Bombyx mori: one gene and its partner. The protein of the gene in region 1 purifies or fractionates together with the protein of each later gene. This does not show direct contact. Links are inferred from orthologs where the notes say so. Each region holds a gene or a part of one and is shown on either strand. Other genes may lie near its edges. The genes, in order: mago nashi and wibg.

Evidence for each region.
Region 2: the proteins of mago nashi (region 1) and wibg purify together in Drosophila melanogaster (affinity purification with western blotting; 4 studies listed by BioGRID, with this or other methods). This does not show direct contact. The link is inferred for Bombyx mori from reciprocal best matches to the Drosophila melanogaster genes mago and Pym.

The regions. Positions count from the first base shown.
Region 1 is NC_085121.1:13,251,623-13,255,680, forward strand, and holds mago nashi, read left to right. Parts: upstream 1-1,739; 5' UTR 1,740-1,873; coding exon 1,874-2,131; intron 2,132-3,301; coding exon 3,302-3,484; 3' UTR 3,485-3,529; downstream 3,530-4,058. UniProt on the Drosophila melanogaster protein: Core component of the splicing-dependent multiprotein exon junction complex (EJC) deposited at splice junctions on mRNAs. Involved in exon definition of genes containing long introns, including the rolled/MAPK gene.
Region 2 is NC_085114.1:15,048,619-15,053,022, forward strand, and holds wibg (partner of Y14 and mago), read left to right. Parts: upstream 1-1,497; 5' UTR 1,498-1,679; coding exon 1,680-1,716; intron 1,717-2,065; coding exon 2,066-2,335; intron 2,336-3,798; coding exon of another isoform or gene 3,799-3,804; coding exon 3,805-4,073; 3' UTR 4,074-4,193; downstream 4,194-4,404. Other genes in the region: protein lin-37 homolog, read right to left, coding at 321-429, 889-970. UniProt on the Drosophila melanogaster protein: Regulator of the exon junction complex (EJC), a multiprotein complex that associates immediately upstream of the exon-exon junction on mRNAs and serves as a positional landmark for the intron exon structure of genes and directs post-transcriptional processes in the cytoplasm such as mRNA export, nonsense-mediated mRNA decay (NMD) or translation.

The DNA of each region.
Region 1 (4,058 bases):
CAGCGGTCAGCAGCTGCGAAAATGCAGCGCTGACTCACTTCCACGACTACGGGGCACAGGGTGCCACCGCTCACGGCAGGCCGGCGAACCAGTGCCGTCGGAAGCTGCGATCTCCAGAAGGAGCACTCTTCACTTAGTGAAGAGTGTGGAGAGCGCAGTCCTTCCGCTCCTCCTAGTGCTGATTTTGGTCCGCGTCATCCGATCTCTTTCGTTGCAAAGCCTATCTAAGCTATCCTAAGCCTAACCCTAAACCTAGGACCTTAACCTACATCTAAACCTAACCCTATACCTAGGACCTTAACCTACATCTAATCTAACCCTATACCTAGGACCTTAATCTACATCTAAACCTAACCCTAAACCTAGGACCTAAACCTAAGAATCCTTGCAACGAAAAAGATCGGACGATACCTCTGGGAATGTCGCCCAGAGGATCCCGTTATCCGCCACCTACGGACGCGCCACGGTGGAAGTCCAGCAAAACTCCCCCACAGACGGAGCCCCCGGCCACGCAGAGTGCGCACCGGGGGGCCCGCCCAGGTCCCGGGATTATAATGTATACCTACATTATCTCTTGAAAGATAAATAATGAACATATTTACTTATTTGTTTATATTACCTATATGAACTCTTAACCTATCTTTTTTATACCTTCATAGCGATAGGTATATAGGAGGATGGAAAAAATGTATTTGGTCTAACTTTACGCGAATGCACATTATTTTATTTATTTATTTTTTAATTTTTTTAATTAAACTGTATACCAATTAATCGATCCTTCAGGATTTATAATTGTTTTTTTTTTCACGATTAAAACCGCGTAGAAAGTTTAGGCATTATAGTTGACGCATGCGCCATAGATTATACACTTATGGCATGCGCAGTACACATATTTTGTATACATTTATTCAACTAATACAATTAATTAAACAAAAAATGAGTAATTTCGAAAGAGAACAAACGTATTTTATATAAGAACAATCGAAAATGAATATTTACGAGTAATTAAGGACGAAAAAATATTAAAAATTGCAATCGAGGGGCTAACTTTTAGATATATTTTTAATATTTTTTTTAAAATAATAAAATGGGGAACAAACAATTATTAACAATGAACAATCAAGAACAAATGATGAACAAACGAATTAATAGAAAATAAGTAGAAAACAGGAAAAAAAATTTTTTTTGAGGGGCTAACTTCATTCACCCTACAGCAGTGCTATCATACGAGTATCAAGGCTTTTGGTACTATTAAATATGCGAAAGGATTTTTGGCTGGAACGCGAGGAATTTTTATTTTATTTTAATATTATAGTCCGTTTAATTAATTAGTTACCTACGAATTGCTAATTATTCGTTCGAAGTTTTTTATTGAACTTCAATTAAGTATATCTCATTCGTACAGCTGAATAAGTTTTTGTGTTTTGATATTTTTTCCAAATTTTAAGCTTTCAACGGCTCTCGGGTAAAGTTGGAAAATTATCAAATTAACCAAACAGCCTTTCACTCCTCGATATCATCTCATCTTATTTTATTTCACGTTTGATTTCATTCAACTTCATTCCGTAATCTTCGTAATTTTTCCTCTTTATCTTTTTGCAAAATGCTAGGCTGTTTAGGCAATGTTCTCTTTGTCTTCCTAATCGGACAACTGGAAGTATGAACCTTCCATAAATCAAACAAACAAACACCACTCTACAATACTCTACATTGAATTAAACACGCGAGTGTAATCTGAAGTTTAATTCTGAAATTAATTTAACTGATAATTTGCGTTTGAGGGTTTTCTCATCATTGAGTAATTTTCTTTTAGTGTATCAGTAGAGCCGCTAAAGTGGAAGTTCTCGAGGATAAATTTAAAACTCTGTGCAAAATGTCTACGGATTTTTACATACGATATTATGTTGGACACAAGGGAAAGTTTGGCCACGAATTTCTCGAATTTGAATTCCGGCCTGACGGGAAACTGCGTTATGCCAATAATTCCAACTATAAAAACGATACAATGATACGTAAAGAAGCCTATGTTCACCCTTGTGTAATGGACGAGTTAAAAAGAATCATAATTGATTCCGAAATCATGCACGAAGACGATCGCCTGTGGCCACAACCTGATAGGGTTGGTAGGCAGGTATGTTAAAATTCCACAACTAACTAATATAATAAGGTTTTCCAAATTTCCTGAAAAAAATTATCATTGCAAAAAGTTAAATTTATTCTAACCTAAAACATTGATTTATAATTATATGTGTGTATTTTATTTAAAGACAAATTTAACACGGAAATGCAAAGTGAAACTAAGTTTTTTACTTTATTCTTTATGAAACAACCAAGTTGATGAACTATGAACTATGAACAATCCTATCCTAAATCTAATTTGAGGCAAACTCAACACTAAATGAAATATTAAATGCCTACATAGAAGTTATTCATCATCTTGGATTTTCACTTTAGTTTTCTGGTTCACATAGCGAAGATTTGCTAAAAGTATTTGGTATTTTCAAAGTACTAGCCCTGAACAAAGTTAAATCAACTAAAGAGTTTTTGGATTTGAAATGTTTTCATTAGGACTGATTTGTAATATGACCTGCCAAAAGGTTCATTTAAGGACATTCTAATACCATCTTTAGCTTTACTGCCCTGTACCATATAACATTATATTTTGTAACTACTGGCCCACTCTGTCAAATTAAATCTATAATTGCTTCATAGTAGAATTATTCAGAATGTTGGCGCTAACTTAGTTCATGGCCATACAGTATGCTACCACTAGTAATTATAATACTTAGTCTCTTGATTGATGGAAGTTGAAGGCAATCTGCTACAGCATGTGTCTTTGTAGATTACTGCTTGGCCACAGCACACTCATCTATGTCTTTTTAAGTCTTCTTCTTCTTAATCGTGATTTTGTTTTTAGTGATGCATTTGCTTTAAAATTTATGCATATGCTGTTATTATAATAAATAACATTGTATTTTACATCATACAACATCAATATCGCATGAACTCCCTTCAAACCCCCTAGGTGGCCCACACACTTGATTCCACATTCTTAACATTAAATTTGCTAATAGCTGAACTATAATGTAAGCTTGTTTAGACATGTAGATCTTTGAATTAGTGAAATAGTTGAAAAATCTCCCAAATTCCTTTCTGATTCTTCTCAAAATGTAAAAAATTTTTTTTTAATAAATTTAAATAACATTATTTATAATTTATTATTTGAACTTTAATTTATACAAATTATATTAAGACGAGAAACATTAATGCTGTACTAAACACTATTTTTATTAATTTTCAGGAATTAGAAATTGTTATTGGAGAAGAGCATATTTCTTTCACTACTTCTAAGACTGGATCTTTGGTTGACGTGAATCAATCCCGCGACCCTGAGGGTCTTCGTGGGTTTTATTATTTAGTTCAAGACCTTAAATGTCTAGTATTCTCTTTAATTGGGCTACATTTCAAGATTAAGCCTATATAAAAATTATAATCTCCTATTCTTGAGTAATAAAATATTTACATATAACAGTTTTATTTATTTTAATTAAGCCAAACACAAGTAAACAAGCCAAAGTAAAAAATTCATACAGATAATAAAATTATAGATATGCAAAAACCTAACTAATGCCCATAAAGAATAATAGATGGTAAATAAATGATGTTATATTTTTGGCTTGATTATTTTGGTTTTTAATGTTAATTTACCTCTTTTTACATAAATATGTAATATGGCAATGTTAATAATGTTTACTGTCTCTGCCAGAAAAATCTGCTAAGAACTCCACTAACTCCCACAACACAAATGTATGGATTTAGGTATAGGTGCAATGCAAGATTATTTTATGAATTAATCTACACATTACACATATAGTTTCGATTGTCTCCAATAATTAAGAAACTTTTTAAAAAATAATGAGAAATATGGTGTGAATTTTATTTTCGGTGTGGAGAAGATAAATTTACGTGTACAAGTGCCGAACAAAACATTTAGGCCATCAGTCTACTAATTGAAAAATCTAGCTATTTCAGCCTCTCGGTGAATTAAAATTTTATTT
Region 2 (4,404 bases), on another chromosome or scaffold:
GGTGTGAATACTGTAATGGTCTGTACTATATTGGTTAACTTTAGGAATCCTGTGTTACATTCATATACATTTATTCTGGTTATTAACCTGGCTAACTAAAATTGTCTTATAACAAAATCTAATTTTAGCTGGTCTACTTTTCTTCTGTTGTCATGATCTTAATCGTTGATGGTTGTGTCTAGTTTGATTTTTCATCAATCAACTATCATGACAAACTCCTCGAAGTCTCAATGGCCTCAGTCTTATTTATTAGCTTAAACTATATTAAATATAATGCAATTCTAGTTTAAAATGTATAATAGATATCTATGAATAAATACCTTCTTTTCCCTGGTGTAAGTTCAGTAGAGTCATCAGAATCCAATGCCGGTTCCAATATTTCCATTAACGCTCCCTGCAGCCTCCCTCGAGCAGTTGTCACCTCTTTTACTGTTTGTTTAAACAAAAAACATTAAAATATGTGATATACTATTTTCTTCAGTTTTTAAAAGATGTAATTGTAACTATTTTTTCGCTCTAATCACGCGTATCTTACTTTCACGACATTTTAAATACTTTGCATTTATCAGGATCTTCGACTACTAGCGTGTTAGTGATTTTATGATGACTGACATTATATATAATAAACTAGACGCGGGAATACAATAGATAATTATAGATACGAATCCGGTGTAAGCTTTGAATTTAAAACAGTTCAGCAAAAAAATTCGTTTTTAAATTAAGAATTTATATTCGATATTCAATATTCTGCATCTTTATTGAAGGAAACTCAAATCGAACATGGTCCTCCCCTAAGCTAAAAGTTTAACCACCAACCAACGAGACTACCATATCAGGAAAATTTTATATCCTACAATTGTGTATTAAAGTTCGTTATGTTGATCAAACCTTTATTAGAAATTTGAGGGAATTGCGTTATACTCTTTCCTTTGTTTTTGATTGGAGTGAAAATCCTTCTTCGTTTACGCATTTTTAAACCTGCTCCTTGAATCTATTTAAAATTAAAATAACTAAAATAATTAATCAAAACAAATGAGATGTGCACAGTATATTTAATTTGTTCTTTTTTAATTTGTATAAGGCCATTGGCTACTCTAACTTTGGGTCTACATTCGTGTTTTTTGTTGAATGCTGTTTTTTTTTTTGGAGAAATCTTGAAGTTACAAAAAGGATATAATATTATAGGATAAGTTAAAAAAGGTGACGATAGTGGATTTTAATATGTTTTTTTTTCATGTAAAAACTACTCATAAGTATTTAGACGAGAATTCTTGATATTTTCTCAAAAGTTAACTAAAATAGCAGTCAATTCTCATCTTACTAGCATACTATTTCCTTTAATTTTGTATCATATCATTTTATTTCAGATAAATTAATCTTATTTCTCATTTAACAAAGTATTTTAATGTATCTTTGAAATAATAAAATTAAACCATCAAACTCGACACGAGTAACGATGGCAGAGAAAGAAACCGAGTGCTATATATGTAAAAAGTAACAATCTATGGTCCCTCTGTTATGTGTCAAACAAAGCGGTTCAATATTTTATTTGTCAAAATAGTTTCTTGTGTGAATCTTGGTTTGACTGTGTAGAGTACCACGAAAATAGCTCATTATTTAAGAATACATTGCCGTGATTTATAAATGTTGAAATACAAATTGAAATCTTATGTATTATAATGTCAACACCAACGGCTTATGAGCACGACGCTGATGGTTAGTGTACAAAAAAATTCACGATTGAAGAATTTTCAAGCCTCACCGCTTTCTCTAGTAGTTTTCACATTAACCACGTTTCGTGTGATTGAAGATATTCGAATTAATTGATACAATACGATTTTTTTGTAAACATTAGAGTTTAACGTTTCACACAATAATTATAGGAAGAACTGTCCTTTAAATACTTGAATTTTTCATCCAAATATATTACCTATTATTGTTAATTAACAGTCTATTATATATTTCTAATCGAGCTTAACTTTTACTGATTTTCAAAGATAAAACTAATTACAAAAACTTTACAAAATTAATTTAAACTTAACTTTTAAAAATTTCAACATTCAAGGGAGTAAATTCATTCCTGCAACTCAAAGACCTGATGGAACCTGGCGCAAGCCGAGAAGAATAAAAGAAGGTTATGTACCTCAAGAAGAGGTACCGTTGTATGAAAGCAAAGGAAAACAGTTCAGGGCCAGGCAAAATGATGGACTTCCGGTTGGACTTACACCTGAGATTGTAGCTCAAGCACAAAAGAAGAAAGGTCAACGAAGCACTATCCAACCTATACCTGGAATGATTATAACTGTTGAAAAGAAGAAAAAGAAAAAGAAGACAGGTATAAAAAAAAACATTTTTTGTTGTTCCTGAAGCAAAATGGTACTTGGTGTAATATGTTATTACATCATCAAATGGTCATTGAGCTCATCTGCTTATCTATAGGGCTCATATATAATAAATGAAGCTTTGAGTCCTTACTGAATTAATATTTCATGAAAAAATTTAAGGTACTTTTCTGTGTGAGGTGACTTCTTTCTGGTCGTTCCCTCTATGCTGAGGATCATGACTGTATGTCAATCTCCTCCACTCGGTCCGGTTCTGCGCCATAAGTACCGCTTCCTGTATCTGGCCTCTAGTCACCTCCTTAAATTGGTCCACCCATCTAGCTGGTGCTCTTCCTCTAGCACGCTAGGTACTCTTAAATTACATAAAAGAAAATATTCCAGCACTTGCTAGATTCCTGCAGTAATATCACCCTGGCTATAGAAACTATCTAGAGCTTTGCTATATAATATTTTTAGAATAAAAAAACTTAAGGATGAAATGAGTAATAAATATGCTTTTTTTCTTATTTCGTTGGAAAAAATCATGCCCCACCTGGTGTTAAACGGTTACTGGAGCCCATAAACATCTACAACCTAAATACCACCAACCTTTTACAGTACAATGGCTGCCCCGCCCCACCTTTCAAAGCAAAATCTATTACTGCTTCACGACAAAAATAAACAGGGTGGTGTTATCTACCTGTGTACTCATGAGACGTCCTACCACCACTAATTATACAGATTATAATTTTATGGGTTTTATTTTTAATACACGATTTTACTCCATCACAGTGGAAGTCAATCATGAACATTTGTTATGTACTTATTTTACTAGAAAAAATGGTACCTGACTGCAGATTCCTACCCCATTGCATCGCTTGATACGAATGCACCGGGCTTCTTATCACTTAGGCCACAACAGCTTCATCAAGTGACAAAGAATATAGAAGGACACTTGACAGGGAGTTCAAACGCAGTTAAGGGAAATTAATCTAGTCAAAACAGCAACACATTGTCATGTTTATGAATAGCTTTCACAAATAAAGAATAAGACAGGGTAATCTTACAGAATAACTTTTGAGGAATAATTAGTATTAGGGATTTTAAGTTGCAGTCTCAAAAAGCTCAATAGCAATATTAGGAAGCATACTATCCTATTCATATTATAGAAGATTATTATTTTGCTGGCATACACGGCTGGTGAACATGAACGTTTAAGGCAATTTTTAGTAAATATGTAAACCTTAGCTTCCAAAAACATATTTAAAAAATGACAAGAGCTATCAAGCCGATAGTTCACAAAAATTTTGATACATTATTTTTAAAGATTCTTAATACTTTACCCATTTTAAATTTTTGAACTTAGTTACTTTATATTTTAAATGTAATCTTCAATCACACCACTAAAAATAACCAATATTATTGCAGTGAACATTTGGTTAGAGAATTTTGATTTTTATGAACTCTAAATTTTTAGTTACAGGTGTTGAAGAAGCTGCAGAAAAACTTGCCAAATGTGAAATACAAGAACCAACCGTACCTAGTCAGTCAGTACCGACTGAAAGTATATCTCAGTCTGATCCGACAAAACGCCTCAAGAATCTCAGAAAAAAGCTTAGAGAAATAGAGTTTCTAGAGGAAAAAATAAAAGCAGGGCTTCTTAAGAGCCCTGATAAAGATCAAAAAGAGAAAATGTCAAAAAAGAATGAAATTTTAAATGAAATTGACATTTTAGAGAATAGTATTCTATGATTTATTGCAATTCAAGATTTTATGAGACATTTGATTATCATGTTCTTGTTATGTGTGTGTCGTGGTGGATGTGCGAGTGAAATGTTTCTTTTTAATTATACAATATATTTACAACATTAATGTGTTTGAGTTATTTATTCGAATTGTCTCATAATTTTGTGCTCTGGATTACTAAGTCGTGTGGAGGTCTGAATGTGGGAAACGTAGAAGTTCCTATTTCCTGCACTATACTTTTTTGAAAATCATTTTGGAGACACGTGATATGTAAGATTAAAAAACAAAATAATTTAGTAATAAATGTATTATTAGTTAATATTCATTACATTTATAT